Linked DNA regions of Drosophila melanogaster. Changing the gene in region 3 together with the main gene of any one other region gives a genetic interaction. Each region holds a gene or a part of one and is shown on either strand. Other genes may lie near its edges. The genes, in order: hth, nej, Scr and Gug.

The links.
Region 1: of Scr (region 3) and hth, changing one suppresses a phenotype caused by changing the other (phenotypic suppression), as found in Drosophila melanogaster (one study listed by BioGRID).
Region 2: of Scr (region 3) and nej, changing one enhances a phenotype caused by changing the other (phenotypic enhancement), as found in Drosophila melanogaster (one study listed by BioGRID).
Region 4: of Scr (region 3) and Gug, changing one suppresses a phenotype caused by changing the other (phenotypic suppression), as found in Drosophila melanogaster (one study listed by BioGRID).

Annotation. Positions count from the first base shown.
Region 1 is NT_033777.3:10,608,914-10,616,943, reverse strand, and holds the start of hth (homothorax), read left to right. Parts: upstream 1-2,667; 5' UTR 2,668-3,944; coding exon 3,945-3,959; intron 3,960-8,030. UniProt on the Drosophila melanogaster protein: All isoforms are required for patterning of the embryonic cuticle. Acts with exd to delimit the eye field and prevent inappropriate eye development.
Region 2 is NC_004354.4:9,680,929-9,689,132, forward strand, and holds the start of nej (nejire), read right to left. Parts: upstream 4,740-8,204; 5' UTR 4,622-4,739; exon of another isoform or gene 4,575-4,621; intron 3,224-4,574; 5' UTR 1,679-3,223; coding exon 1,624-1,678; intron 1,412-1,623; coding exon 827-1,411; intron 715-826; coding exon 346-714; intron 282-345; coding exon 1-281.
Region 3 is NT_033777.3:6,845,550-6,854,056, forward strand, and holds the start of Scr (Sex combs reduced), read right to left. Parts: upstream 4,433-8,507; 5' UTR 3,996-4,432; intron 2,957-3,995; exon of another isoform or gene 2,367-2,956; intron 1-2,366. UniProt on the Drosophila melanogaster protein: Sequence-specific transcription factor which is part of a developmental regulatory system that provides cells with specific positional identities on the anterior-posterior axis.
Region 4 is NT_037436.4:8,446,985-8,455,056, reverse strand, and holds the start of Gug (grunge), read right to left. Parts: upstream 5,136-8,072; 5' UTR 4,600-5,135; intron 4,410-4,599; exon of another isoform or gene 4,370-4,409; intron 3,283-4,369; 5' UTR 2,929-3,282; intron 1-2,928. Other genes in the region: CG6983 (uncharacterized protein), read left to right, coding at 5,872-5,908.

The DNA.
Region 1 (8,030 bases), 3.8 Mb from region 3:
CGCTCGTCGTTTGCGTTTGATAAATTGCGTTTATAAGAAAGAGATGAATTGTCATGCACACAACACACACTTCTCTGCCGGCGTCGACGGCGACGCCGACTGCACTGCCGGCGTTAACATCACTGTAGGTGTTCGCAAGTGTGTGCCTGTGTGTGTGCGTGCGTGAGTGTTTAAATCATATTGGCTGGCCCCCCAATTGGTGTGAGTGCACGTGTATGGGTAAGCTTTCCCTCTCTGCCCTCTCTTTCGCTCGTCTGGGATTGGAAGTTTCCAAATGCAATTTTCCTTGAGGTTTTCCCGAGTCGGTTCCTTTTCGGCTTTCTTCTTTCATTTTTTTTTCGCTCACTGGGTGGAGGCCCAGCCCCCTAAATTCGCTTCCTGCCCCTCCTTTTGTACACCCCCCCCCCCACCGTTCGCTCTTCTCGCTTCTTGATTATTTTCCTTTTTCGGTGATTTAAATTTCATGGTCCCTTCAATTTGGCAAAGTTCTAAATATTAAATTAAATTCCTGCTTCATTTGCAAAAATTCTTGAGCTTTTCTGGAGCTGTCCGCTTTATTTGCATTCTTCGAAATTTAAGTTATCTGTTCTTATTAAATTTCATCTGAAAACATTTTTTCACTCAGTATTATTCTACGAACTAAGTATATTCTATTCCTCAATTAGCGCTTCTCAGAAAACCTCGAGTTTTCTTAAACAAATAAACTTCATTTGTCTAACATTTCGTTGGGATCCTTGAACTTTGCTACCGCGTCGATCGATCTATTCGAATTTAACTTGGTCACCGATAAGTCTGAAAAGTTCCCACACTTAAGCGTTTCACTAATTTATTGCACTTAATTGATTCGATTTTATGTGATTTTTGTTTCACATAAATTACTTGGCTTTTGGCCCGAGCAGACGCACAAAAGTTGGACGTCTGAAAAAGCCAAAAGAAAGCGAGTCCCGAAACGAAAAAAGGGAAAAAGCAACCGCAAATCAATCAAAGTCTCATAAATTTGTCAAAGTGTTGACAAGACGCAGAAACAGAGCACCTATATCATACATAGTTCCCAAGATTTTGGGGGTTTGGGATTTCGGGATGAAATGGCAACCAGATTAAGTGCAACATCATCTTTTTGACCAGCGAAAACAGACACGGGAAATCCTTTTGGCGAGCGTCGGAAAACAAACAAGGCTATTTTTCATTTTCCTAAAAACGCCGGCCAAATCGCCCCGTCTCTCTCGCTCGCCAGTATCCCCGTCTCTTTCGGCGTAATGGCAACTGCAGCGCCAAGCCAAAAATACGCTGGTGAAAAATGGCCTGGGAATATGTGTTAACTGCTTTTTAAACTGCCACGAGGACGACGACACGACAGTAACAATAACAGCAACAATAGACAGGATTTCGGACTGAATACGAAGATTGGCATACCTTGTTACCCTGTAGTTATTGGTAAAACAAATTGGACTAATTTATTTTAGTTTAAAATGTAAAAAAAAATTTGTACAATCACGCCGAAGATATCACAATTGACTGAAAATTGCCCAAACATACTTGTCATCAAAAAACTTGTTCAAATAATGCAAAAGCCCGTTTCCTCAATTTTTTATTTTTGGTTTGAGATGTAACACCATTTGTACAGGGTATATAAAAAACCAAATGAGAGTAGATTCGCCAAACAGGAGCGCAGAATGACCTGCAAAATATGCAATTTTCAGCGAATGTTTTTGACAATTTATCGCCGTTCCATTTGTTGTTGTTCCCCAAGAAGTAAGAAAGAGAGAGAGAGGAGAAACTCGAACAGCTGTTTGTTGTTGTCAGGATCGCATATCCTTCCAAAGTGGCCAGATCACCGTTACAAGCCAAAAGGACGCAATAAAGGAACTGCAGCGAAAAGTTTGTTTTTGTCGTCCACGTTTCTTCTTCTTCTCCTTCAAGTTTCTTCTCTTTTTTGCCGCTTTTCTTCGAAGGCGTTGCCTATTCGGGCAAAAGTGTGTGTGTGCGAGTGTGTGTGGGGGCGCCAAAAGAGAGCGAAAAGTGAGCGAAAGCTGAAGCTGATGGACAACTGAAGCTTTCTCGCTGCCTTTCAACCTGTAAAGGTGCGGCGAAAAAGAGCCAAGCTGCCAACTGCCACTCACTCAAGCGAAAATAACAAATGGGATTGGTTTTTGCTGATTTTCGACGCCGACGCCGGCAGAGGGGCGAAAAACCCATAAGCCGTCTCCTTTTGGCCAAAGCCAAATAAATTTCAAACGCGGCGAACATTGCGCAAAAAGAGGCGAAAACTGAGAAAGAGAAAGAGATAGAACACCGCTGTACGGTACTGTATATGCATGTGAATGACAAGTGTGTGTATGACAGAAGAGGCGTACCAACAAATCAGTCATCGTCGCCCAGGATGCGAGCGCGCCTGCGCAGGCAATTCGCCGGAGCGTTCGCATAAACCATATATTCCTCTCGCTTGCACTCGCTGAGTTATGGCCAAGAGCGAGTTAATGGCACAATTGTTGCATCTGAACAGAGCGGGGCAGCTGCATGATTGACAATCATGCCGCACCGCTTGCACCCGTTGACTTTGCTGTTGTTTGTCGCTCAGCGCTCTCTTCGCTGTTAGTTAACAGCGATGTTAGGAGTGGAAACACGTCCGACTGTAGCGTAAATTCAAACGTATCTGGCGGGTTGGTTTTTCGATGAAATATCTTTCATCCGCACAGTGTATTTTTGACTGCGAAGCGCGTACGACGTGTGTCTGTGTTGCGTTGCGTTCGAATAAAAAAGAGAAGAAAAGCGAAAAAGTGTTGCCGTCGGTGAAGTTTATTATTATTATGATTATTATTATTGCCCGTTAACCACGCGTTTTGCCATCAATCAACAAATAAACAACACAAGAAACACTTTGGAAATCGCGCGCGTTTTTCCATCGCGCGAACAAAACAATCACGTTTTTTAGTGTGTTTTTCAATCACAATCGAAAAGTTCTCCTTTTCACAATTGAAGGCCAAAATAAATACTGTTATTTGAGGGCCGCGGAGGGAATTTCTTTCAACGAGGGGATCCCGCCGATCCCCCCGCAAAAACAAAGAAACACGCAAATTGCCGTCGCAAAAACACAACAGAATATATTGCATTATATATTAACAATATAATTTGTTCATCTCTAGTAACGTAGTATGTAGAAGCAGCTGTGATAAATAGTGCGCATATTATACGAAAAAAGCAAAAAGAGTATACGACAAACAAATAAAAATTAAAAGCAACCACAACTACTACTATAAAAATAACCAAGGAAAAGGCAAGGAAACTCGCAAAACGAGAGAGAGAGGAAAAGGGAAAAAACGCCATGGATTTATGACAACAACAAATGCAACCCAGTAACAAATGATGTTGCAGCAACTACTACAATACACGAGTATACCAAGAACATCAACAACAACAACTGCAACGGCAACCAACAACAAATTGTATACGATTTTTATAAACCAAACAAATGCTATGTAAATAATTATTATAACAAACACACAAGTAAAAAAAACATTCAAAACCAGATCTCCCGCTCTAGAAAACAAACAACAAACGCGCGCGTAACAAAAACGACAACATCAACAATACAACAAGTATACAAACGTAATAATAATACATAAAATCTAAACAAATGTGCCTGTGTTAAAAAAAAAGAAAGCAAAATCAAGAAGCAAAGCGTTCAAAAAGCAAAGGCTTCCCAATACATGAAAAAAGTGCAAAACATATATAAAAATCCAAGAAAATAACATCCAAAACTGAAGAACTGGAAAAGCCAAGAGTAAATCTAAGGACTCCACACGGGCAGCTACAGTAGAGCTTCCCTAAAACCGAAGCAGTTGCAGCGGCGGAGCGGGACGTCGGTCAGTGTGTTGCGCCCCCATTTGTTGTTCCTACTGTAAAAAGTGGCACAAATCGGGTTAGACGTCGCTCCCAGAGCATTAATGGCTCAGCCCAGGGTAAGTAGATCCACCAAAGTTCACTTTCTAAATATATAGAATCCATATAGAATGGTCCCCCGAGAGTGTTGTTATCCTTAAACAAGTTCCGACGGCTAAAAAACAAATGGGGTTCAGTCAATTTGTAATCAAGTCAAGTGGTGCCGACGGCACTTACAGGTTGTAGTTTATGATGATATTGTAACAGTTTTCATATCATGGATATGTTACCAGTGTAACCAAATCAATCTATAACCAGAATACGCAAAAAGTTTTAAAAATCTTCAGATATTAGTTAATCCAACTTCATGAAGTAGATCTATATAAATATTTCTTATACATGGCCTCCAAGCTTCTCCAATTTAACCCATTACAATCAATTCAATGGGGAATAGTTCTTGTTTATTAGAGCCCTATCAAAATGAATTTTAACTAAGCGTTTCTGAGTGTGTGTGTGTGTGTGTGCTTATGTGTATTGGAATAGGACAGAAATCACATTTGATTTATGCGGGTCATTTTCTGGTACAAGTTTATATAATTAACTGAGTCTGCAGCTAGACCATTTTATTTGGGAAGTGATGGAAATCAAAGATCGCCGAAATAGTGATAGATATTGTATTACATTAAACAACGGTTTACTCTAGAAAATCATTAAATAATGTTTATTGAAAATTGTTAGCTTTTCCCCTTAACTTTTCATTTTCACACCGCAATAGTTGATTCGATTTTTGTTTAAACATGGCTGGGACCTTCACCTCCGAAAAGCCCCCCCGTTGCATAGCCACAATGATTCCACCATTTTCCATCACGTTTATAAGGCATAAATTCTCGCCTCGCTTTTTAAACGGAGTAATAATTTTTACAATCCATCTGGATCGTAAATTATATGCTAATCAGGTGACCGGCAGTCTCCGCTCGCCCGCTCTTCAAAAAAATATTATTACCAAATCGCAGTTAGACTTTATCAATTGATTATCATGGACATGCGAAGTGAACTTGATTTTTATTTAACGGAGCAAAAAGACCTCAAACATGGCCGTTTGCCTGTGTGTGTGCTACCAATTAGCGTGTGTGTGTGTGTGTGTGTTACCAAAAGGTGGGCCATGCTCTTTGGGAGCATTAAAAAAATCAGAAAGAAATATAAAAAATAAAAATGGATATGGAAATGGAAATGGAGATGGGAAAAAAGAAATGCCCGCGGGAATTTTGTGTGTGTCTGCGTTACTGGCGAATAAATTTACGCCTGTGGTTTAATACCCGATTCTGTGCCGAATTTACCTCTTTGAATCCCCTTTTTCGTAATTCTCCTGCGGCTCTTTACCCGAATCGCGCCATTTCAATTCCATCAAATGAATTTTTCGACTCGGGGCGAGAGATATATGTATGTATGTACGAGTATGTGAATATATACGGGTGTTCTGTCTGTTTGTGTGCATTTGATGCATATAATTTTATTGCACATTTTGCACATTGCCAGCGGCCCAAAAGCGATCCATTCAGTTTATGCCGCTTCGTGGTTTTATTATTTACAATTTTATTTTTACCATTTTCCATGACTTTGCGCTGCTATAATTTGCGAAAAATGGCGGGAAGCAATTTTCGCGGGTTCTTCTCAAACCAAACTGCACATGCATTTTTATATATATTTAATTTGATTATTTTATGCCATCGAAACGGAGAGCAAACGAGAGAAACAGTGAGAAAGAGCGGCCGTGTAAAATGTGCAAAAAAAAAAAATGTGCAATTGCAATTTGTATAAAAATGTGCATTGCAGCTGCTGCCATTCTCCCCCGCGCCCCCTCACTTTTCCCACCATTTTTCAGTTCGTGTGCCATTTCAAACGCCTGCGAAATGCAGCACAAAAATTGTTTTGGTGTTATTTTAATTTAAAGGTTAACCGCAGCGTAATTTGTGGCATAAAATATAATTCGTCTATCGTGTGCTCGCCTCTCCCACTGTGTTTGTTCAGCTATTTTTTGTATTTCTCGTTCGCTTTAGAAATAAAATCAAAATCAAAATAGAAAAGATCAAGGAGAGCGGAGCAGCGGAAAATGCCACAGTCGATTCTGTGGTTTACTTTAGTGGCCAGCAGCATTTGCAAAAGTTGATGGAAACATTCGGAATTCGACTTAGGTGGCAAACTAAAACATTTTTTTTGTTGAGCCAGGAAAAAAATTCTAGTTATATATGTATATATTATCAGTATATAACAATGGTCCGCTGAAATGTGTACTTTCAAATATACCAACTGCTGAACTCATTCCATTAATAACAATAAATTGAATTTGAAATTCCCTATGTTACAAAATAACATTCGTCAGCAAAGTATAGTAATATTTTTTCCCGCCTAGTCCTTATCATATTGCAATAGTTTAATCTTTGCCAGCGACCAACCTTCGTCGCGAATTCTTTTCTAATTAAGTGAGCAATTCTCCAGTCTTCCCAGCCTCACCGCATGACTCATGGGCTCCCCACTTACCCCCTTTGCCACGACCCCCCGTTTATCAGGAGATTTCAGATATATCTTGGCTTTCGGTTGAGAATCCGCTCGGCAGACGCTTCACATGCCAGCGAAAATTGAGCGAATAGGAAGCGTCAGGCTGAGAGGAATATTTATAAACAAATTACATATGCATATTTCTGCAAGGGGTGCGCAGGGGGAGGGGGTCATAAGACTCTATATGGGGCCTCCACTTCTCCCACTTTCCACCGATGTTGTTTTTCGTGTGCTAAAGAGCTTCATGTTTAATGATCAAATTGCGTGCCTGATTCTTGGGTCGGTGCCTGCTGGTGCTATATAGTTGTTGCCTTTGTTGTTATAGCCTATAGAGTAGTATTATTATTTTACTTATTTTTTCCCGGCCTCTCTGGCTTACTACAGCACACACATAGTTGCCAAGTTTGACGAGGTCGCTGGCTGCCGTTGAAAGTGTTTTCATTAGTTTCATTTCTTTTTGCATTTACGCTTAAAAGTTTTTTAAATATCGCTGCCCGTTTTTCGTTTGCCGTAATTTCCCCAAACATTAAGTCAAAGTGTTTTGCTAATATTCATCGAATAAAGTGGAATTACTATTTTTGCTGGTGGTGAACTCTTTTCTCCATCTTTATAAAAAGAAAAGAAAAAAAAACGAGGGACTGAAACGGAAAAAGTGTACAGACAAAAATGTGAAGAAAAAATGTGTTGTAAAGTAGAGGAAAAATCATTTAGACAAGTTGCACGCCGCTCATTAAATTAAATGAGCCATCAGCACGCAATTTATTTTCGTATTTTTGAGTAACTTTTGGCCCCGGCAAAAATGCCAAACTCCAAAAGACTTTTGTTTCTTTGGGCCAGAAATTTTGTTAGCAAACTTGGCCAAGTCCTTGTCTTCAGCAATTTAATTAAATAGCCGAGAAGTTGGGAATCAGATAGTTAATTTAGGCCAATAAAACAATTACTGAGAGTATATTTTCTTCTACTTGCATATTCCATTCGTCATTATAAATATAATATAATCAATTAACTCGAGACATATTCGTTTAATTCCATTTAAACACAAGTTTATTTTATTTGCATGCCATACTGCCTTTTCCGCCATTTTCCGTCAATTTAAATTTCAAACATTTTCCTTAAATTTCGGCCATTAAATTGTCTTCGCTTTCGCTGGGCTTTAAATTCCCAGAAAGCAGCTAAAAATATTTTCAAAATTTCTTTTCTTTCGATTTATTTTTGATTCGATATTTTTATGTATTTTGCTTGTATTTTCCGAACACACGAATTTTAAATTTACCTTTTTGGACAAATTTTTCGTTGCTATTGGCCGCGCTTTGTTGGCTTTTTGTTAATCATCTGCCAGTTTTTGTGTCTGCGAGTTTGGGGCTCATTTTAATTTAATAAATGCCACAGACTGACGTCATTTGTTGTTGATTTTTGATAAATGTTAAAACGCCAAAGTATTCATTTATTTTTTTTCACCCGTTGGTCGCTTTCAGTTTCTCGGCTACCGAGCTTCTAATTTTTCTGCTTTAATTTTATGCATATATTTCAGTGCTATTTTTTTTTGCGTTTATTAAGTATTTGTTTTTCGACATAAATTAAATGGAAGCCGAAAA
Region 2 (8,204 bases), on a different chromosome or scaffold from region 3:
CTGCGCCAGCATCTGCTGCTGCTGAGGATTCCCGCTTACCAGCTGCCCCGCGGGCCCTGATCCATCGCCGCCGAGTGTGGACATGGGCACCACTGTGCCAACGGGCCGATTACCCTGCGGCATGCCCGGTACGACGCCACCTCTTTGGGCCATCTGCTGGGCGAGAAGTTGTTGCTGCTGTTGCTGCTGCTGTTGCTGAGGATTGTTACCACCGCCTGGGCCACCATACTGACCCACTCCGTAGGGCAGACTGTTGAGTTGAGCTGCAAACGGACGGAAATCTTACATCAGCCATCGATTCAATTCCATGCTGGAAATACACTAGATCTGGCACTAGAAACTCACTCATTTGCATGTTCGGATTCTGCATGCGTGGTCCTCCGCCACCAGGCCCGTTTCCTGGCCCACCAGCTCCTCCAGAGGCACCCATGAGATGCGGGCCACGAAGCATATGCTGTTGCCCCACCATGCGTCCCATCATTGGGCCGTTCTGCATATGCATGCCTTGGTTTGCGGCAACGGCTCCTCCGCCGCCAGCTCCAACGCCACCAGCTCCTGCTCCAGGTCCTCCGGGTACTGAAACGGAATTGATCATCCCACCGCCGCCGCCGCCAGGCTGCTGCTTAAGATGATTAACCATGCCGCCCATGCCGCCGCCAACGCTGTTGGTCAGCACCATGTTTCCCAGATTGCCCTGCGCAATGGTGTTCATGCCTGCGAAAGATATAACATAATTTGGGTTTTCAGATAATTGTTGCTATATTCATTTGGTTGCATTGGCTAGGATAACTTGGATATCCAATTACAAGGAAGAACGATTAATCACCTGGTATGGCGTTCATGCCATTGTTGCCATTATTCGATATTGACATGGGCATTGAGTTGACCATACCCATCTGAGTGCCCACCACCTGCTGCATGCCGCCCTGGTTGGGTGACTGCAGGTTGGGCGACTTGCTGCCCAGCTGCTGCATGCCGGGCACCACCATGGCGCCCTTCTGGCCCTGCTGCTGCTGCTGGAGTAGGTGCTGCAGTTGCTGGTGTTGCATTTGACTGATTCTGTTGCCCGCTCCTGAGCCGTTGCCACTGCCGTCGTCGCCACCCGTTCCGGATCCGTTGCCGCCGCCGGCTCCGTTCATCTGGGAAGGCACAACGCCGACGCCAACAACACCGCCGACACCCACATTCACTCCAACACCGACTCCGCCTGTGCCAGAGCCGGGTCCTTGGGCTGCCGGCTTGTTGGGTCCGCCACCGGGATTTGGGCCGGATGTGGGATTTGTGGTTACACCGGAGGCGCCGCCACCTCCATTGCCACCGCCTGCTCCGCCGGTCAGCTGATCCGACCAGCCACTATTCGAGGACACCAGCTCATCGGGCAGGTTCTCCTCCAGAAAGTAAGAGATATCCGCTGGAGGAAGATACAACCAAATTGTTTTTAGCAAGGAATTTTCTTAAAAAAAAAAATAGTTGGATAGAATTAATTGCTTTTTCAATTCCGTAAGGAATTTATTAAAAATTATGAAATAACTGGAGAATACAAGTTTGATAAACTAAAACTAAAAGTTATTAACAAAAAAAAAAAAAAAATGAGAAATCGAATATTCTGGTTTCGGTACTCACTTGGATCCATTTTAACCCGCTTTTGGGGCGGTTCGTCTAAGTGATCGGCCATCATATAGAGTTAGTTTGATTCTTTCGATTCGGAAAAAAACAGAAACGCAGACGAAAAACGTTCGAAAAATCTGAGTAGTATTGTTTCTATTAGTTTATAAAGTTTTTCTGATTTTTCGCTTTTTTTTTTCACTAACTCTCCAATGATCCGTCTATGTTGGAGTTCGAGTGTGTTCTGATATTTTCGTTATTGGAACTTGTCAAATCTTCTTTCAGAAATTATTTGTCGCCTAGCACTTTGACAATTGTTGCACAGGTTGTTTGTTTGGTTAAGTGTTTAGTGTTTTAAGTTGTAGATTTCTTGATTAGTTTGGACACTTTGCAACACACGCACGCACAATACACAACACACAAAGAGGCACTCAAAAGGCGTGGCTGGCGAGGATTGGGATTTGGTTTTGGTATTGGTGTTTTGGGATCTTGTAATCGATGATGTTGGCGATGCTTGCACTTAATGATGATATTAACGCTGCTGCTCCGCTTTTTATTGCTAAGGATGTGGCTTCTGTTGTTGTTCTTGTTGCAGTTGTTGTTGTTGATTTAGATAATTCCTTTGCTAATTGCCGCTGCAACGACAGCAACAACGTAGCCGGCGCTATCGTCACCGCAACGTCAACGGATGGAGCTGACCACCACCACGTCGTCGGACCTGTGCCCGCTGATCCTTCTGCTCCCACACCCACTTCCACTCCTTCGCCTTTTCCCTCTCCTTCTGCCGCTTCCGCTGATCCTGGAGGATCGCGCAGCCACCACCGCCTTCTCGTTGCGGCGCCGTTGAGATCGTTGTCGCCGCCACTGGCGCTTTGGCCAGCAGACAACTTTTCCACCGCCTGGTGCTCCTCCTGCTCCTGCTCCTCTTGATGCTTGTTCTTATCCTGCGTCCGCTTGACCAGTACCTCTTCTTCTTCTTCGACTTCGGCCCTGCGCTTTTTTAGCTGCAATTTGTTTTTGCTGCTGCTGCTGATGCTGCTGTCGTTGTTGTTGTGGTTACTGCTGCTGCTGCTGCTGCCGTCGTTGTTCTCGTTGTTGCAATTGTTGTTTGTCGAACAGCAGCAGACACACGCGTGCATTTTGTGTTGTTGGGCCCCAAAAACACCAAAAGTTGACCTTGGCTGGGCGGCTCTTGTTATTGTTTGTTTGTTTGTTTGTCTGTTGTTGCCTGCCTGCCTCCACTGAGCGAAAAAGAACGGTTCTTGGTTTGGCTCTCTCCTCTTTCTCTTCCTTTTCTTTCCGCCTTTTTCTCCGCTATCTTACATATTTTATGTGATTTGTTTTTGGCGGCTTTTTGTTACACAGGAATATATATATATATATATAGATATTTTGACCATATATTATATATGCTTGTGTTTAATTTTGATTGCACTTGATTCGGTTATCGTTTACAATTAATAAGGAAAAAAAAGCAATTCACATTGTTGGCTGTTGTTGGGTTTGTTGTGTTTCGGTTTGTTTTTGTTGCTGGCGCGCTGCTGTTGTTTTTGTCGATGCTGATGTTGTTGCTGCTGCTGCTGCTGCCGACGTTTGCCGCTCTAGCATTACACATTAACTGCAAACGCACAAGAAGAATAATACACAGCCTATTAGATTATGTTGAATGGACGAACACAAATCGAAAGCAATATTTATTTATTTTCTTCTTTCTTTTTTGTAATTTAGCCGCGCGCGAGTGGACAGCGAAACCGAGGGGAAAATGGAAACAAAACGAAACTAAAATGCGACGAGACGTGCCGAAGACGGGGCGAAAAGGGAAGAACAACGAGAACAGTACCGAGAATTCTCTCGGTCTCGTTGCACTCATCTGTGTGCCGCTTGACGACCACTCACTCTCTCTCTCTCTCTTGTCTGTTCTTGCCTCGCAATTTTATTCGCCAATACTACCAGCGCTGTACTCGTTATTTTACTCGCAGACGTGTGTGTTGGCCTCTCGCTCTTTTGGCGCACACCACGAAAATGAAAATAATAATTTCATTTTGCCGCCAGTCCCCTAAAAAATATGGAAAACAAGTGCCGTCGTTGGCAAAAATATACTTTGAAACATGCTTAACATTTTTATGACAAATACATTTTTGGAAAAAAAATTTCACACCTTTACAGGTAATAAAAGTCAGAGCACTGCTTAAAAAAATTAATTGAAGTATCAGCCAGTTGCGGCTGTAGTCTATAGTCTAGTTTATAAATTAAATGGCCGAAAAAGTGGCCGTATTTTGGTTTTGCTTCCGCATTCGAGCGGCCATCATATGAAATTCAATTTGTTGGGGCGGCGAGTGGCGAGTGGGGTGCGAGCGGGATGACACTAGAGTGCAGTGGGGCTGGCTGACAAAAGCTTTCACACACTCACGCACGCACACATTTGGGGTTTGGGGCGCGCGTACAGAATTCTCACAGCGACGCCAACGCCGTTTTCACCACACAGTTACACACACGCACACTTCGAAAACAGCGAGTTCGTGCAAGAGCGAGCACGAGTCCGAGAGAGAAAGCATGCGATGGTATTAGTGCCAAGCGGCATTAGTGTGCAATATACACACGACGGTAAACGGCAACGAGTGCGAGGAGCATTGGAAAAAGAAAGAAAAACAGACGACAGAAATATATTCCATTTTTTTTCTGTGTTCGTTCGTCGTTTTCGTTTCGTTTTCTTCTTCACGTCGTTTCAAAGTTTCTATTGCAGAAATTTTTTGTGTTGTCTCCGCCAGAGCGTTTTTCATTTTTCCCGGCCCACACAAAAATCGCAAAAATATTTGGCGAAAATACGAAATTCAAGAAAATGCCGTAGAAAATTTGAAAAAAATTTCAGCCCGATTTTGGCCGGTATTTTTATTTTTCCACCGTCACCGATTGCCACGCACTAAATTTCTAACTATACTTTGCAATTTTGCCGAATTTCGGTTTTATACCATATATTTTTCACATTTTCCGGCGATTTTATAAAAATCCCACAAACTTTTTCGCAACACTAAAACAAAAAAATTTCAGTCCGCTTGTGTTAATCGTTCTCCGAGCCAAAAATGTTTTTGCTTCAGTGTGACCGCGGCTAGCCGTTCAAATACACCACCGAGCTCGGAAATACACTAAAATTGACTGTTTAACACAACACGCGAGTGGGCTCTCGTCGCTCTCGCGTGCTGTTTGGCCGCTGTTGTCGTACTGTTACGACCCGAAATCCATATAAATGCCTTTGCTAGCAGTCTGTTGGCCCCGTAACAGCTGTTAACCGCTGTCGGAACACTGTTTTGCTCTAGTCCCTCGCTCTCTGCGTCGGCGAGACCGCTCACGCCATGCGCTCCCAAAGAGCCGATACGCACACACGCGCACACATATGGCGCGCCAGATAACGAAGCAGCGAGTCCAGAGATGACCACATGATGACGGTGACACATTCGCCGATACTTTTATGCGGTCACTTGAAAATGTGCACAAAGAAGTTTTGTAAGAAACATCATTGGTTGGAGACCAACATCATTATGAAATGAATATTCTTTGCAGCGTTTTTGAGATCAAATAGGTATTCCAAAAAGATGTTTAATATGAATTAATAAATCAACATCTTGAATGAGTGCAGTTGTTTAGAATTTTTTGTTTAAAAAAGTATTTGTAGACATTAATTTTGAAAACGTTTGTCCATCGTAAAAATCTAGTTTAAAGTTCTTCAAAGGAAAAACGATATTTACAGAGGATCACGTAAGTAATCGAGTCATTGGATTTGCGCATCTCTGGTGGGTTCAGTGTTAGCGTGTTTTCCGTTCGCTCTTGCCGTGAGAGACAAAGAGAACGTGTGAGAGAGAGGCAAGCCGAAAAATCAGCCGCCGAAGGATACACTATCGTCGTCCTTGTCCGACGAACCGGTGGTCATGCAAACAACGCACAGAACAAATTAATTTTCAAATTGTTCAATAAATGTCCCACTTGCTTCTGTTGTTCCCCCCTTTCCGCTAGCGGAATTTTTTATATTCTTTTGGGGGCGCTCTTTCGTTGACTTTTCGAGCACTTTTTCGATTTTCGCGCGCTGTCGAACGGCAGCGTATTTATTTACAATTTTTTTTGTTAGCGGCCGCCGTTGTTTGTTGCAGATACACAGCGCACACATATAAGCTTGCACACTGATGCACACACACCGACACGTTGTCACCGAAATGAACGGGACGGCCATATGACTGGCTGGCGCTCGGTATGTGGGTGCAAGCGAGATACCGCGATCAAGACTCGAACGAGACGGGTCAGCGAGTGATACCGATTCTCTCTCTTTTGCGATTGGGAATAATGCCCGACTTTTTACACTACATGCGTTGGATCTGGTTATTTAATTATGCCATTTTTCTCAGTATATCGGCAATTGGTTGCATTAATTTTGCCGCAAAGTAAGGAACACAAACCGATAGTTAAGATCCAACGTCCCTGCTGCGCCTCGCGTGCACAATTTGCGCCAATTTCCCCCCTTTTCCAGTTTTTTTCAACCCAGCACCGCTCGTCTCTTCCTCTTCTTAACGTTAGCATTCGTACGAGGAACAGTGCTGTCATTGTGGCCGCTGTGTAGCTAAAAAGCGTAATTATTCATTATCTAGCTATCTTTTCGGATATTATTGTCATTTGCCTTTAATCTTGTGTATTTATATGGATGAAACGTGCTATAATAACAATGCAGAATGAAGAACTGAAGAGTTTCAAAACCTAAAAATAATTGGAATATAAAGTTTGGTTTTACAATTTGATAAAACTCTATTGTAAGTGGAGCGTAACATAGGGTAGAAAACAGTGCAAATCAAAGTACCTAAATGGAATACAAATTTTAGTTGTACAATTGAGTAAAATGAGCAAAGCGCCTATTTTGGATAATATTTGCTGTTTACAAGGGGAACATATTCATAATTTTCAGGTTTAGGTTACGCATATGTAGGCGTAAAGAAATAGCTATATTTGTAGAAGTGCATATGCACTTTATAAAAAATTATCCTACATTAACGTATTTTATTTGCTTTAAAACCTATCTGAGATATTCCAATAAGGTAAGTGCAGTAATACAATGTAAATAATTGCAAATAATGTTGTAACTAAATACGTAAACAATAATGTAGAAGTCCGGCTGAAAGCCCCAGCAGCTATAGCCGATATCTATATGATTTAAACTCTTGTCTGCAACGTTCTAATAAATAAATAAAATGCAAAATATAACCTATTGAGACAATACATTTATTTTATTTTTTTATATCATCAATCATCTACTGATTTCTTTCGGTGTATCGCCTAATCCATCTGTGAAATAGAAATGGCGCCACCTAGGTTAAGAAAAGATAAACAGTTGCCTTTAGTTGCATGACTTCCCGCTGGATGGTGTTCAAAAAGCTATTACATAAGGGTGGGTGTCATGGCTATTTGCTCTTTGGGTTATTGTATTCGCTGTTTAAAACTGCGCACACAAATAATATTTTAGATTTAATGTAAGACAATTTGTATCAATAAAAAAAAAACAAAGTGAGCTTCGGTATTTCGATTTAAATTTGTTTAACAAAGTAGGCATTGAACATAATTTCAATCACAAGACAACCGACCCACAAGCAAAACCCTCATTTCTACTTTGACTCCCAAAGAAAACACACAACGTAAAAATTATCGAATAACAAATACGTTTTGGAAAATTTAGAATAAAACATGAAAGTACGAAAGTCAAACCAGGAAAAGCCAAAAAAAAACAAAATAAGAAAAACAATACATAGATCATTTAAAGCTAAAAATAGGCTAGCTAATAAAGTGCCTCGAGCACGCACTTTAATGCTTATGGTGGAGAATGAGATAATGTATAATAAAAATATTAATGAACAATTACCTGCACGGGTTATTGACGATTCAGATCCGCCGAAAAGCAATACACCAGAATCCGAAACGTAATGTAAGTTGTGCATAGATTTAAAACTAAACTTGACATTCATAAACAAATTTATTTATTTTTTTTTTTTTTTGCTCGTTTCCATTATTTCTGTGTTTTTTAGTAAGCAACTGAGCTCCGTTTATTAGATATTAATTAAATATTTTTATTTTTCACAGGAATGGGTCGATTTCCCTAACCACCCAGCCAATATTGCCATAAAAAGAATTCATTAGACATTAGTTGATCCTTGTTTCCAAAATTCAAAAATTGCTGCATTGCGTTTAATGCTCTCATTGGTAAGCCAAGTGCGCTCCGCTATGTTAGATATTAAATAAATATTTGTATTTCCACCGACTAAAGCAAAGGACAATGGAGCAGCGGCAGGATCTAAAGGACACTAAAGAAAAAAGAACAGCGAACGCTCAATTTGGAATCGAACCAATTAGTTGTCCTTTGTGCTGGCACCTTTGTCGTCTGGATTTCGCAAATATCGTTTTTTTTTTCCCATGGACCATGGCCCATTTGCCACTGTTTTTTCGTTGGCCATTGCGTGTCCTGTTTCGGAGTAGAGGATCCTTTTCGTTGGTTTTCTCTACACACTTTTGGAACCGTGGATAGAGCGCAGCGGGGCGTGCGGTGCAAAGATCAGAGGAGCGGCCCGCCG
Region 3 (8,507 bases):
AAACGAGCCCTGGCCATAAATCATAATTTTTAGCATTTGTTGTCAACAGGGGCGTAGCTTGTGTGCATGTAAACACGCCGCTCTAGAACCACAATCTGCGGTACGCACGAGTTTAAGTCTCAAAAAAAAAAAAAACAACAAAAATGATAAATAAAAGGTATTTGCGCACGCGCAGTCACACTCATTGGCAACACTTGTTGTCCCGCTCACGCTACCCATGTGGTGGCTCACGAGGAAGCGAGAGGGCCAGACACTGTGTGCGGACCCATTAAAAAGTCATAAAAATTTGTAAGCACCTCATAAAAATAGTCATAAATATTATTCCTCTTCATCTTTTTGTGTCTTTTTTCTCACTCCCCAAACATGCATCTTCTTCTGCCGTGGCAACCCTCGTCACAGTTGCTGTTTGTGGTTTGTTTGTTTGTTTGTCATGGCTCTCATAATTTTTATGAGTTCTCCAATTGTTTTCCCAACTGAAAACCAATCATCGATTCCGATCCTCGCTGCAAGCGGCCATTTGTGGTTCAGCTTGTCATCTCCTCTCCTCTCCACTGCGATAATTTATGATCTTTTGCGCAATGGTCGAGTCGGAATTATCATTTTAAGTAGTCCTGTTTCTGGTCAAGGACATCTCAATTGTGTAATGTATCCTGGTCTTGCCACTGTTTATGGGTAATCCTTGGCCAACTTAATTTGTAGTCATATTTTTGGAGAGCAGTTTTGTCGGACAACTATTAGGATAAATTTAGGTAGAGGGGCGGGTTTTTAAGACAAGTATTAGTTGTATATGCTCGCAGCATTCATGGTTCAATAAATTTCTTTTAATTCTAAACAAATGGCATTCAATATATGCTGTTCCAACCTCTTTTGTATTATTTTGTCTTTCGGTCTTGTATCTTTTCGTTTTGCTACTCTAGCTTTTATTGTAGACTTTTCTATTCCTGTTAGAACGGCCTGCCATTTTTGCGGCCAATAGATCAACGACTCTAGCACAAATTTTCAGCTTGCGTGCTTGCGATTTTGATTTATAAATATGAACGAGTATTGTTGAAATATTTGAGGGGGGCGTCAGGAAGAGCCGGGGTTAGGCCATGATGAATGTCTCCGCCAGGCGCAGGCCAAATAAATTACAGCGCTGCTGAAGACACTCGTAGAACTTTGGACTGGCCCCTACCCTCCAATTAGCCGTATAGACTGCAATTCGGAGTGGAATTGTTACTGGGCCTGCAACTGTCTCAGTGTTGTGCCCATATTATGCAATCGATGCAGCCAGCTCTCCAGCTCTTTGATCTTGGCCCACCCTTGGCGAGATGGGCGAATGAAAGTGACCTACATCAAGTGGAATTTCATCCACTTACGACTAGAGCACATGTGGGATGCCATGCCGGGATGTAGAATACTGCCCAGGAGCATCGCCTTTACTCGGTCATTGGCAAAGTCCCATGAAGTTCCAGCCCAGTGCGTCTTCTTTTATTTTACATAATTTCATGTTCGCCCCATGGCGTCTTGGCCAGCATGAGTTCGAGTTCCCCGGATAGTAGCCAAGCCTATATCGTGGGCATTTCTTCATCCCTATCCCAGCTTGGGCTCGGTATATAACGCTATGTGTCTGGATTAACCTTCTATATGCGGCGCTTGTTAGGCATTTTTCATTCGCTGTGACATTTCGCCTTTGTGCCTCTTAATTATTTCAAAAGCGGCTGCATTTCGCTTTAATGAAGTGAAAATTCCTTGCGTTGATACCGCACACGCAACCTTATGAAAAATTGCTTAAACAGAATACAGAAACAAAGCCCCGATATAGGGAAATATATAAAATGTATTTTCTGGGTTCGGTTACTAGGTATCAAAATATATTTCATTGATTTTTTCAAATTATATTATTTGATATGGAGTGTCTTAAGAAGCAAACAGGGGAAATTATTACGCACCTTTGATGATTTCTTCAAAGAATATTAAATTGATTTATTAAAGAAATTAAAAATTTCTTATTTTTTTTTAACTTACTAGTGTTGGTATTATTTCTTCAATAAGAAAGTCAAAGTACAAGATAAAGATTGTAAGATTAAAAATAAAATTTAAGGTGGTAGAAATATTGTTACTTAAAAAAATATGTACATACGAACAAAGCACTTTTTTATTGTAAATATTATTTGATAAATAAAATCGCATCAAATTGTTAAGAAAAAACTATAATTAAATTGCTTTAGACCAAATATTGCTACATAAGTTCTTAACACATCAAAAAAAAAAACACTAGAAAATACAAAACAAAAACTGACAACGAATAAATATCCTTTCCATGACTGTTTTCACCTGTTCCAAAGCGCTTAAAATATTTTCAGCCGTTAAACTCGTTTACTCACAATTTTAGTTAGCCGACGGCGTTCACCTCCGTTCAAGTGAGTTTGTTTTCTGATTTTCACTGCACTGAACCACGATTTTCACTTGTGCTGAGTGCGGAAATCAACGTGCACAATTACGAAGGTAGAATTGTCACAACCAGCCGGATATCTGGGAAATTAATCCGATGGCATCCTGAGGGCAAACTGGCTAGACTTTTGCGTCCTACCTGCAGGCTTATGTTTTGGATGGTTCTAATGGGTAATTGGCCGCAAAGGGCTAAGCGACGGATTTGGACGGCTTTTGGTATCACAAACACACAAGCACACGCGCAATTTGTTACAGATCACGATAAGTATATGCGCTATGACGGAGTATCTAAGTATCTGCGCGAATTTCACGCCGAATTTATGACTGTCCATCAGCGCCAGCATCGATGCAAGCACTTTGCAGTCCATCCATCTTTCGCTAAAATCGAACAGTATTCGAGGGTCTTTACACGCGGAACAGCTGAGTGTTGGATTGTTTGAGTTTTTTTATTTGTGCTTTTTTTTCTGTTATTCCGGTGTATCCGCGGATACGTGCTCGAAGCGCCAATGTCTCACTTTGACTGCTCGGGCATAATTCAAATTTCTGAGCATCAATAAAAAACACAGATACGCCAGCGCTCTGGCTCACTCATACTGCTCCATTTCCCCCGTCCAATTGTATCTGCGAGTACGAGCAAGTAAGGCTATATGGCTATACAGCTACATATCGTCGTCCAAGTGCAGTGTTCATTATTCGAAAAGTGTGCGAGAGAGACAACGGGCATTGCGCCGCTCCGCCATCTCGCTCGCTCTCAGGCATGTGCTGAAACTACCTTTGCGGACGCGAAGAACGTTTCGAATCAACCGCCAAACCAGAAATTCGTTCCCACAAATTGTATCTCACGGATACGAATACGACACATCGGTGTGTGTGTGTGTGAGTTCGAAAGAGCGGTAGTTCGAAAAGCACCGCTCTCGCGTGTTTCGAACAAGTTCTTATTGAGAGAGATCGTTACTCGGTAGTTCGAAAATCATGTTTCGAACTGCGACTAAAGTCTTATTGTTCTCACCGACACTGTCCGTGTGAGATCGATTTCGGGGGACCAAATCATAAACATTCGAACTCCGTACTTTGGGCTAGTTGGGATAAAATCAAGACTCTGGGACTCATTTTGGGAGTTTGGAGAAGTAAAATCTGTCTCTGAAGATTTAATATATATTTTTAATGTTGTTCATATATTTTTTTTTAGTTAAGTGTGCAGTTAGTTTATATAACATTTGGAGGTATTGCAAAGAAGTAAAGTAATTGGATTTCTGAACTTGCTAAAATAATATATATTTATAAAAAATATATATATATATATTATATTGATTTTTTACAATTGACACCTTTTTTGTATTCTACAATATTTATTGTTTGTTAAATTGACTCTAAAATATTCAATCCTCCACACCACAGTGCAGTTTTAATTCAGAATGATTTGAGTGGAAAAGTTTAGAAAGGTTAAAAGGAACCATTTAACGATATATCGATGGTTTCATTTAAACCTTTAAGGGCAAAACTTTCTTAAATTTTCTTCTTACATTCAGAGTTTAGTTTTTCTACGTTTGTTATTTTCTTACCTTTATGTGGACGATTTGGGGAAATCCAATCAGACGCTACGAACAAGTCGTTGTAATTCAATTAGTTTTCTTAGCCAGCACTTCACTGTATACTTTTTATTTTCGTATTAATTGTATTTGCCTTTTGCACTGCACTTTGCTATCTTAGTTATTTGCGAAGATGAGCAGTTTGAGAAATTATTTGAGGTGGGTAGGTAATTCCGCTCCTATGTAAAGGAGTTAGTCGGTAAAGTATCCGCTATGGGGAGACCATGGCACCTTGCCGTCGCCAAAGAGCTTTCCATGGAATCGCAAGACTGGCTTTCAAGCGGAAACTTCGCGGATTGCTACGCGTACGAATACGAGAACGTGTATCTGTATCTTTTTATGTTTGCAGAAGACCGAGCGCGCTGCTTGGCGACTGAAGTGCGCCACGTTCAATTCACGTTTGAGCCATAAAAACCGACAAAACGACCCTCTCGTGCGTTGCCTTGTGTGCGTTTCGAACACTGTAAATCATTTGAGGACCCGGCCAACGAGTGCGAGAGAGAGGACGGACAGTGCGCATTTTCGAAAATCCTGCTGTCCCACTTGCACCCACGGCAGACTCCGCCCCCAGTCTTGATTTATGCGACGAGGGTGCCACGGCAACCGGCCTATGGCGCTCCAGCTTTTCCCTCGATTTGGGGAAAAGCGCGCTCTCGAGAAAAGCGAGAAATACGAGAAAAGCGAGAAAAAACAGGTAGTTGGCAGCCACTCCAGGACACATCTGCCCCCGGTTCACGCTCCAGATTAGGCCGAAATCATCCTAGATTAGGCGTCTCCCCCACTTTATTTGTATTCAATCGTGGCACTGTTCCGCTAAATCACCGCCACATTATTATTTCGCATTATTATTTTATAAACGTTCCGCTCCGCGTTCATTTCCATTTTTATTGGCCTGGCAAAATGCAAAGTCTCCTGCTGAAGCTTAAGTTATTCCTCCTTTAAAACGAGCTCGTTGGCAGTTGTCTCTGAATTTAAATTTATCGGTCTGTTTCGGGGCTGCGGATCGGGTTCTCTTTGGGCCGTAGCCAAGTTCAAGTTCTCATGATTCATTCAGCATCGGGGCTTAACGATTTTGATTTGTTTGGCTAAATGCCTTAATTAAAAGTCGATTTCATATTTGCTACCAACAATCCAGCATCGCATTCAGAGCTGAACACACATATGGTTTGATTTTGGCGTCATTTGAATTTGAATTCAATTGATTAGTTTGTCTCGGAGATTTAAATGTTGATTAGCTATTTTTTATCATAAAAATGAGTTGCTGGTTAAGACACACCCAAAATCGATTTTGAATGAGATTATTTTTTTTATTTTTATTTTTGGAATCTAACGTTTATGTTGCGAAACCACAAACATATACCAAATACAGATAAATGGCATAGGTCATTCGTAATATATTGCAAAAGCAAAAGTTTGTTTTAATAAGTATTTATAGTGAGTGTCTTAAAAATTATCTTATTTAAAAACGTATAAACTTAATACGTTTATTTGATACGAACTTGTAATAAAAGTGTTTTTTTAAGTGGTACTGAACGGTTACTTTCGAAACCCGAAACGCGAAATCAGCAATTCTTTCGAAAATATGTTTATTAAAATATAAATAAATTTTGTAAGTACGTATTTCGGAATTTATAGCTTAAGTTTATGTACCAATTCGATTTGTTCTTCTTATAGAAGTCGTATTTTTTGCCATATGTTTTCCGCTGTGTTTTTGAAACACACATGTCAGCTCTTTATGGTTGGCCCGCATCATCCACAAACCATATAAAAGTATAGAAAAAAACAAATGATGGAAAATAAATGAAAAACTAAAAAAAAAAAATCATAAGAGAGACGCCTGCGTGTACTTCTGTAATTGGAGTTGATGTTGGCGATGCCAGCGGGCAGCCAGCGCCAGACTCTCGTATCCCAATCCATAGCATAGCATAGCATCCTCTCGGATCCCATTCCATTCTAGATCCATGGAGGGTCCCCAGCAGCATCCAACATGTTGCAGGCGATTTTTCATCATCGCTTGCATGTTGCCTCCGATTGTAAATGTTGCCCCTCGCACACACACGCTCAATTTTTAATATGAAACAATCAGCAGCGTTTGTATTTTGTTTTTAGTTAAAGAAAACAGCGCGTAACGCGAAGTTGGAATTTTTGAATTAAATCTGGACATAGAAAAAACACAAAGAAAAACTTTGTAACTTATGTAACGCACTTATGGTAACTTTTATAATACAATGTAACATATTTATAACTAATTTTAAATTTACTTTTCCAAACATTAAACTGTTTATTTAAACAAATTTTTTTTTCTTTTCCATACACAATTACTGAATTTTATTACTATTTGGGGCTTTATATTTGAATAGCAAGAGAGGTTAAAATTAATGTTAGTATGATTTTGTCTCAGTGCATCAACGAAACTGCAACAGCAACAGTTTCCAATTAAACGATCCAAGAAAAATGAATACCCCTCCCCGAACCAAACTCACGACAATTCGTTAATACCTTGCCATTTGAGTTCTTCACGCATCCGTAATGGAAATGGGGGTTCTTGAAATTGGTTGTAGGATGGGTAGTCCATGTCTACGAGTAGTTGATAAATACCCCCAATTTGGGGGCAAACACAAGTCGGTGTTAGTCGGGATATAAGCTGTATCTGGAGCGGAGCAAACTCCTACAGAACCAACTGCAGTTGGCGATGCATTGAGAGATGCATTTACATTAAAGGCCAATTTAAATTAATTTCCTCTCTCTGCTTTTTGGCAGCTACCAGTTTTCAGTTTTCAGTCCTCAGTCCGTAGAGCCCCTGTGTCAGTGTCAGTCCATTCACATTTGATTATGACAAACGTTGCTCAGCTGTCAGGCGAGCTACTTAGTTGAACAAGATGGCTGGCCAAGTTGGTCAGGGGTGGGGGAGGACTTCTTGGTCTTGAGACTGGGTAAGCGGTTCTGCGGAGAAGGGCCTTGGAGGTCATTAGGAGGAGACAACAGCTGAGCTTAAGCGATGAACCAGGGCAGGAGGCACTGGTGTACACGAAAGGAGCAGTAAGGCACGAGTTATGACTATGTGATCTTTACGGGCATATTTTAAAATGTGTTATGTAGCTTTTATTTTATGCGTGCCATTTTACTTTAATTAGCTTTAAATGGAACTACAATATATATAAATATTTACCACCTGATTCATTCATATGTCAAGTGTATTTAAAACTATTAACTTCAACTTTGTTAAAGTGTTTCAAGTGTTTGGGCTTTTGCAAGACTGTATGAGAATATATCATGAGTTCACTATATTATTTAAACTGTAATTTACTACATAATGTTACATTCACTCGTGTATATATCATGTACATGATTTACATATATACATTATATACAAACTGCTACAGCATTAAATCTGATCTTTAAAGATTTCATTTTCAATATTTCCCAGCCATTCTGTGAATGCATAAATAAAACAACAAAAAACCGTACACACAATACAGCATCCAACGCCGTGCAAACGCCATTTTGATTGAATTTTTATTCGCATACACACATCCCCCGAAATACATATACAAGGAACATCAGGACACATCGCCAGCCAGCCAGATAACCAAGCTTTTTCCGCAGTGGGAAAAGCTTTAACTGTATATTGCTCTCGCTTTGGCCGCAGCTGCTGCAGGACGAGATGATTTTCGGATGGGGAAAGTGGGAGAATGAGACTCGGGGAAGGAGGCGTGGATTGTTGCGCATGTCCTTAGCCACAAGCTGCGTACTTGTGCAATGATTAATTCTCCAGGACAGCGGCGAAAGTTGCCACGAACCTATAAGTAACTTTAAAGTATCCTTAAAGTGCAAACTAAGTAGTGAAATATTTGAAATGGCCGGCAAGGGATGGAATGCAGCTGCTCATTCTCAAGCAGCCCCTAGGATTCGTTCCCAGCTAAAATCCTGACAGCAATCAATCAGATCGCAACAAAAGATACATAGTCAGAAAAAAAGAGAAGGAACCAAAAAAATCTATAAAGTCCCGACTGACTGCTCTTGAAATACTGCGCCAAGGTCGAACTCTCAGCTGAATGTCCTTCTAACAGGTTCTTGGCATTGTTCAACATGTAGTTTAGCAGTTTTTAGCAAATGCTTGCCAATTTCTTAGCCGAAACTCCTTTCGCTCGATTCGAATTCGGTTTTCGAAGCCGGAGCTCATTTGTGTTCATTATCGTCCTGCGGCGCGCCGCCAACGGAATCCTTCTATTGCAGTTCCGTAGCTTCATCCTTATTCACCCACACTATGCGTGTGAACAATGCGGGCGTTCACTTGTACGCAGGACTAAGCTGCATGTGTCTCTATTGTGTCCCTTTGCTCTACTTTTGGCCTCCTGCCGTCGCTAATCAGCGTCGCTTTAATTGGTCCACCTCATCAAGGCCACATTAAAGGGAAAGACGGATTGCAGTAGAGTTTGGAATTAGCAAATGAGTCGGTTTCGTCACGGTTTTGAGATACTCCAG
Region 4 (8,072 bases), on a different chromosome or scaffold from region 3:
GTCCGTTTACGATTAGTCCCTTAGTACCAAAACTCCTCGCCAGGAATTTTCCTCGCGAGTGTTTGAAAAAACAAAAGCAAATCTCACAGGCTTTTTCAAGCTAAGTTTCGAACACAAAAGTCAAGCCGAATTCTGTCTGATATTCTGTGGGAAATATAATGCAAGTAAAAAAGTAAAAAATGGATTTTAACTCAAAAAAAAAATTTTTAACTGAATGTAACTAAGCAAAACTTAAATTCCCGAGAAATTCCCAAGGAATTAACCAATATTAATTATTAAGTAAGAAACACCATCTTATCGAGTATTTTAAGGATTTTGCAGCTTATCCGCACTTCATTTGGAAATTGTCTCGTGTTACTTATGTCGTGATGTGTCTCGTCCGCTGGCGGCAGGATGTGCGAGTGTCTGTGTCTGTCTGGTCCCTTTTCCTTTTCCCCTATCCATTTTTCCTTTCTCTTTTCGCATTTTCTTCCTTTCTGCACTGTGTACACCTCGAATGGTGTCCCTTTTTTCCTAGTGTTTATGGAACTGCCGTTATTTGTTTGCTTGGCATTGCACGAGTGGCTGTATGTTTGTAAATGAGCTCTTTGCATGATGTGCTGCCTCCCGCTCTTGGGTCGCGTATTATTCCGCTTGGCTAATAGAATTACACACAACGCCAAAGATTTATGGGCCCATTTAACACGCTTTTGCATTATATTCTCACCCATTTGGGCCTGTTCATTGATTTTACACTGATTAACACGAGCTTAAATTATTCATATTTTTTTTTTTGTTCCCGCTTTATAAATAACGCATAAATAATAATAATAATACGCTGAAATGCAGCCAAGCCACAAATACATCACTCTCGGAATTGTATATTTTAATAAGCAGTCTGTGTGTGCTAATTATCTTATCGCTAAATGGAGTTAACACGTAACAGAAACAGTAACTGGGATTGATTTAGCACCGCGAGTGTTTGACTAACGATGTCATCGTGAGGGAGAAGGGTTTTTTTTTATATATATATTGTTGAGGCTTTTTGAGTTTTAATTAATTAACCCTGCTTTACTTTGATTTCTTTGGAATGAGATCTTAATGAAACACCCAGTCTAATAATCACTTTAGTCCTTTCGCGCTTTAAAAAAAACGTAACATATGCTAGAAACGACACCTAAAATCGCAAAATACATTCGAAGCTATCAAAAGGTTAAACAATTTGTCTAATGTTGACACTTCCATTGACCAATTACCACCGAACGAGCTTATCTCACGTACACACCACTAGGTCCAAGGTTTAGCTTTGTTCGTGGGGATGGCTTAGATCAGGCCGCTTGGCTGCCCAGTCAGCAATGCTAATTAAATCGGTTATGTAATTGGACAGAGCACAGAGCGAGAACTCCGAGGCTGAATGAGGAAAACCTTCCGTTTACTTCTAATCGACATCAATAAATCGACACACTCGAGTCAAGTGTGCGCGGATAGACGGACGGACTTTTCAATCAGATAAGCAGCACTTATAAATTAAAAGCGCAACAAAACAGATTAATAAAGTTAAACTTTAACGGCACATTATAAATAAGCCAAATGACTAATAATAAAATATGAAAGCGCGCACAAAACCCCGACATCAAAGGCGACCAGCAACTGTGTAACATACCAGAGATACAAAAAAAAAGAAATAAAAGCCAAACACAAAATATAAAACCGTACCAAAACCAGAGGAGCCGGAAAACCGCGAGGGAACTCATCCATTTCCCAACAGCACTTTTGTTTTTTTTTTTTTTTTTTGGTATTTGTGTTTCTGAAATATTCGTGTTATTTGTGCGCCTTAAGTTTCCGTTGGCGGCACTCGTCTTGCCTTTTTATTAAATGCATTATTAGCACGTTATTTATTAATTAAACACTCCAGCCTTTTAATGCGTCTCTAATCAGATGGCCTCGCCGCCGCACTCTTCGTGGATTTTGGGTTGGTGGGTGCAGATAAGCGGGCGTGCCGGGCAAATGGAAATGTGGAAATGGGCAGGGTGTGGGTTTCGAAGATAAGCAAGGCGGCAAGCGGTGCAAATTGTCTGGGAATTTCCTTGAAATCAATCTCCGTTTTCCAAGAACTAACTGCCTCGAATTTCACTTGGCTAAAAGCAAGTTAAACCATGGCACTTCATTGGAAGAGATAAAGAGATCCGTAAATCCCCCATGAACAATGCGTAAAATTGCGTATCATATGACCTGGTAATCCCTCATTAGCTCTGATTTAATCCTGCACCATATTGCTTGTATAACAAGTGACCTACAATAGCTACAATACAAATTAATCTATTTAACTAGATGTGGCCATAAAACGATGACACTATAAATACAAAATGGCAGCTAATCAATATTATCTTTATTTAAATTGATAAACATATAGAGGACAACCAAAACTAGTTTTGATAGATTCATATAGTTATTAACAAGTGGAATATTTTCCAACAATGCGCTAAAGAGTTTCTAAACTGTCTGATCCCGGTCAACCCTTTTTTTTTTCATTCCGAACAAGGGTGTACTAATTGGCCTACAAGGCAACTCATTAGCAGTATACAAGTGCGGCGATAAAGATCTGTTTCAGTGGGTTTAGGGTATGTGTAAGCCTTATCATCGATCTAATCGCAATTCCCCCTAAATACCACCAGCCCACAAAATGAACACCACAAATCCGAATATGAGCGACAATAGCAAAGCAACGGATTAGGGGCACGCGCCCCCCGGTTTTCTAATTGCTTTGGGATACCATTGGAAAATAGTTTCCTCCATTAGCCGAGTGGAAACCCTTCGGCACAATGAACAAGCAACCCCATCGAGGGGATGTGACACATGAGACGGGGGCCAGCGTGAAGTATCGAATTAAGCAAACAAATAATTATAATTAAATGTGTGCGCCGGGCTCGAACAGATGTCTTGGCTCACCATGAATCCGTAGTCGGGGTTGTGTATCGTCGAGGCGTCCCGCACGAAGATGCTCCTCTCTCCAGCAGCAGGCGGCAAAGTAACTCCGGTCTACGGTCTCCGTCTCCAGATTCCAGACTCCAAGTTGCTGAGGATGATGATGATGATGACGACGATGGTGATGTGGTGCTGTGTCGATGGATTTTCAAAGGGGGTGGGCGGCGGTCGTGGTGGTTCTTGTTGCTTTGCTCCTGTTGTTCTTGATATTGTTGTTCCTGCTGTTGTTATTGGTGTTGTTGTTTTTGTAGTTGTTGCTCAGCGAGGAGGCAGCGAGTAGCCGGAAATGTATATTTCGGTTAATTTGCACAAACACAGCTGGAAGGCGAAGAGATGACGTAGGTGAGAGCCGAGACGATGGAGATGATTAAGCGAAAGAAAAAGAAAATGAAAGAACCAAACAGAAGAATTGAGCAGCTGGGGCGCAAGGAGCGCCCTGCGAAAAAACAATGCCCCACTAGCGATACTACTACCAAAAGCAGTCGCCAAATGAGGCCATAGAACTTGGCAATTTTATACGTTAGCTATTTGCATAGCATAGTTGAAATCCTATGTACCTGGTTTTGAGTTGAGAACTTTTAATTACATAATAATGTGACCCATATTCTTTGATCCTTTCCTTATTAAATTTTATAAACAATGTAAACCAGGCAGACCTATGTTCAAAACATCTGTAATAATAATAATCAATCTATCTATCTATTTGGACTGTATAATATTGAATAACAATAGCTATCAGAAAATCTTTAGTACCAAGATGACATATCTAAGTAAGTCGTAGTAGTCCATATCAATAGTACTATTAGTACGGGGAATAACGCCAGTTATAGCGATATTTTTTATAATCTATTGCCAATAAATACAATTCCAAACACTTCTCTAGCATTAATAGTGGGTAAGTACATATTTTAGCTTATTTATCAGCCAGCAAAAAGGCAACAAGACACATTTTTCCGACAACGTCAGCAACAGCAATTGACTGAGTGGAAGAAGAAGAAGAAGAAGCACGGCCAGCAGGAGCGGTCACAGGAACAGGGAAGGGCGGTGTGGGGGGGGGGGGGCTTTACAGGAATGGGGTTAGTCCGAGGCAGGAGCATCCTTGGGGGGTGGTGGGTGCGCTGGCCGCAAGAGCGTCGCGTTGCGTCGCGTCGGTGGTGACGCCGACGATAACAACAACAACAACAACAATAACAAAGGGGCAACAACGGTGGTGGGTTGCTGCTGTTGTTGCTTGGCCTGTTTTTGTTGTTTTAGTTGCTGCCCGTGCTGCTGACGCTTGGATTTTTGCTTTGTTGTTGCTGCTGCTGCGCTTGCGATTCCTTTTCAGCAAATTTGTTGAGCCTTCGTTCGTGTTTGCATTGTTCTACCCCAAAAAGTTCATAATAGACTGGATTCAAACACCCACCCATCCGTCGGTCACCCTTTCAAAAACTGCGGGGGGGGGGGGGGGGATACGCCACTGTTTTCTCTGTTTTACTGTTTTTCGTTATTTTTTTGTTTTTTGTTTTTTGCTGCCCGAAAGACTTCACATAAATTTGAATGATTTGCACGCTGCGCAACTGCGATTCCAAATTAAATTAGTGACACACTTAGTAATAATTAATTTTCGCACACTTGTTGTAGATTTTTCCTTACGTTTCGCTGCTTGCTTGTTGTTGCTTTTTTTTTTATTGCTGCCGCTGCTGCCAAGTGTTGTTGGATTTTGTTGTTGTTGCTGTTGCTGCTTTCTGGTGTTTTTGTTGTTGGGCGCGCGTGAAACTCGTCGTACGCTTTTTTTTAATGCTCTTCTTCGTTTCTCTTCTTCTTTTTTTGCATACACTTTGCGCACACACACACTGACAGAGAGGCACACTCGCACACACAGGCACAGACAGAGAGCAGCGCACACAGACGTACACTCGAACACACACACACACAGGCACGCACTTTGGTTGCTTGCTTGCGTTTTTTTTATTGCCTGCCTTCGCTTTCAGTTATTTTCACTGGGTTCTTGTGCGATTTTCGGTTGCTTTTTCGCGGAATTTTCAGCCACACGGCGCAGCCAGCGTGGTTGCGAATGTTTTCGCCAGCAAATTACAATAATTGGCTGGCCAAGATGCGTGCTTTTTGTTAAAAATCGCCACTACGAATTTCTCCGCGAAGAAGCCACCATTTTGTAAAAATATATACTTTGCGGGGTCTGGCAAGGCTGGCGGTGGCAGAGTGGCAGCATTGCTGGTGGTCATGTGCTAAATAAGCCAGCAATTGTTGTGTAGCCAACAGCTTTCGTTGGTGAGCACTCGTAAGTTTGTCTTTTGAAATGGTAATTTATTTGTTTAAACAAGACTTAAAAACTTCTAAAGCATATGTTAAAAAAATAAATGATATATATTTAAACATTAATATATGGCTAACAGCTGTGTTTCAGATTTTCTATGAAATTTAATACGATGAAAGTTGGAGTTTAATTGGTTAACAGTCGATCTATATTAACAGTTTGTCGCAGCATATTGTGGGCTTACTTTAAAAATAAATTGCTTAATTTTCGTCCTAATAGGCGAAAAATTCGATTCCACAAACTTATATTTAATTTTTAAAAATCCAACTGATTGTAAAATATCCCTATTGTAAATTAACATTTCTGTTAGAACAGTGAACAAAAGCGCCATTTCGGCAGAAGCGACTATCGACTCTGCGCCTAACATCGATAGCCACAAGAAATCTACCGACGCACCACCACTATTGTTTATTTTGTTTTTCGTCGTTTTTGGATTCTGATTTAAATCACCTCGCTGCGAAAATCGGGAAATTCTAAAGAAGCGCGTCGTCTGTTTAAATTCTGAGGGTTCGCAAAATCGCTGGCATTTAACACTACCACCAAAAAAAAACCAAAACAAATCAAGAGCTGCGAATCTACGGATCCTCAAAATGTGCGACGAGTCCATTGAAAATGTGGAGCATCAAGGTAAAAATTAGTAACTCCGATTCCCGATGTTATTTGCCCAACTCATTTGTTTGGCCATTAAGTAGCGCCCAATATTTGCATAGAAACCAGCTCAAGTGCGTTAAAATATCATTAGGAAAAGGCGGCGGTGGGGGGTGTAGATTCTTTGGTTGATGGTAAAAAAAGGGTAAGTGGGGGTAATTGCGCGTGGATTTTGGCGATTAATTCGGTTTAATTGGAACAGAAAGAATGAAAAGAGTGAGCTAAATTTAGGCAAGTCAGGCCACTCGAGGGAATCGCTTGTTGTTTGCTGACCTTTTCTGCAAATCAGGACAGCTGCACTTCTTAGCGCAGAAACCAACATGCAGCTGGGAATGCACTGAAAAAAAGTGGGGGAAATAAGTCTGATTATATATGTGATACATTAAAAGTGTAACTTTGAGTGAGTAAGCGTAAGAGTAAGTGTATGTGTGCACGAGTGTTTTGGCCATTTCCTTCCCGTTCACTTCACACATTCGATTTCCGCCAATTGTTGTTCTTTGACCTCTTCTTCCTGCTTTTCTGTCGCAATATTAAAAATAATATTTGTTCATGGCCATAGCTAAGCCAATTTCGACCACCTACCGCCCACTTTTGTTGGCCACCGCAATCGATGGTTTTCCATTTTCCATTTTTACCATTTCGCCGACTTTGTCGCCATTCGCGTGACTTCAATGGGTTTCGCTTATCGCTTTTCAAACGGCGCTCGACCCGAGTTTTTATCAGCCTGTTGCAGCCTGCTTAAATTGTCTTAGATTAATTTTAATTTATGATCTCCTGACAGAAGTTAATGAATTGTGGCCAGCAAGCAGCGTATGGAAAACGAAAATAGTTTTCATTTCGCGCTTCACACACTTTCTTCATCAATTAGCGGCTATCAGAATTTTTTTTTTTTTTGTTTTTGAGCGGCAGTTTCAAGTGGCAGTTATATTCGATCCATTTTGGTGAATAATAAAATTATTGCGAAAGCAAACACGAAATGCTTAAACGTGATTAACAGATCTTTAGAATTATTATACTATTGTTTTTTTATTATTATTATTTTTTGCTTACCTAATGTGCATGTTTGTTTGTATAGTACTTAATAAATTTGTTTCTCCTTACGCTTATCGCCTAGAAATGCAAATTGTGAGTTAAAGCTTTTTATTGTTTGCCCAGCGTTTTCATGGGCAATGCTAATTGTAAGTTTATTTGGCGCCCGCCCCAAGAATTAGATATCCAACACCCCAGAGATAAAAAACAACAACAACGAATGGGGCTGATTAAATTGCATTTACCGCCAGCGGAGGTTTCCATTGTGGTAGTCACTATTTTTTTTATTGTTATGTATTCTATAAAGTGATATGCAATTGTGCAATCCTCATGTGGCGGGCTATTTATAGACTCGTTGGGAAACCTGCGGGCACGTTGTTTTTGTTGCATGAGGTAGCAATGCTGGGGATGCTATTGCCACGCCTCCGCTCCCGGGTGGCCATCCAACGCCCACAAGGCGTTCGTTATTGATATTTGTCTTGTTGGTGTTTCAATTGTTTTGATTCGAGAGGGATTCTGAAATACATAACTTACAATACTGTTATGCATGTTTGCAGTTCGTTCTCGTTTTTGCATTTGCATTTTGCATATGGCATTTTATATATTCTATAGTCGATTTGGCACGTACGGCGATTGGTGGCCTTTTTATGGCATCCCCCCAACTGGGGGTAGCAACTGCATTAGTATTAGTTAGGGGGCAGACACACAAGCACACCGTCCAGCAATAAAAGTATATGAACATTTGAATTTGGCGGCTCGAAATTATATAATTCATCGTGTGAGGGTGTTGAAAGCTGGACAAATTGGGCGGACATGACTAAGAACACACTTAATATGGAACTTTTATGGTTTCCTGTTTCTAAAATTGTTGAAAAGATGGTGAATAAAGCTGGTTATAAATAGAAAAAACATATAATTAGCACCAGACCTTCTAAAAACCTTACTAAACTCGAATGAATTTTTAAATGCCATCTCATTATAGATCGATATATTCAAAACTCGCTAGAAACATTAGAGTATGCATGGTTTATGGCGTATGAAAAGTTGGTTTCTTGGCTTGTCTAGACCCATTTTCCATGCTTTAATTTCGAGTAAACGAACCAATTGAGCTATA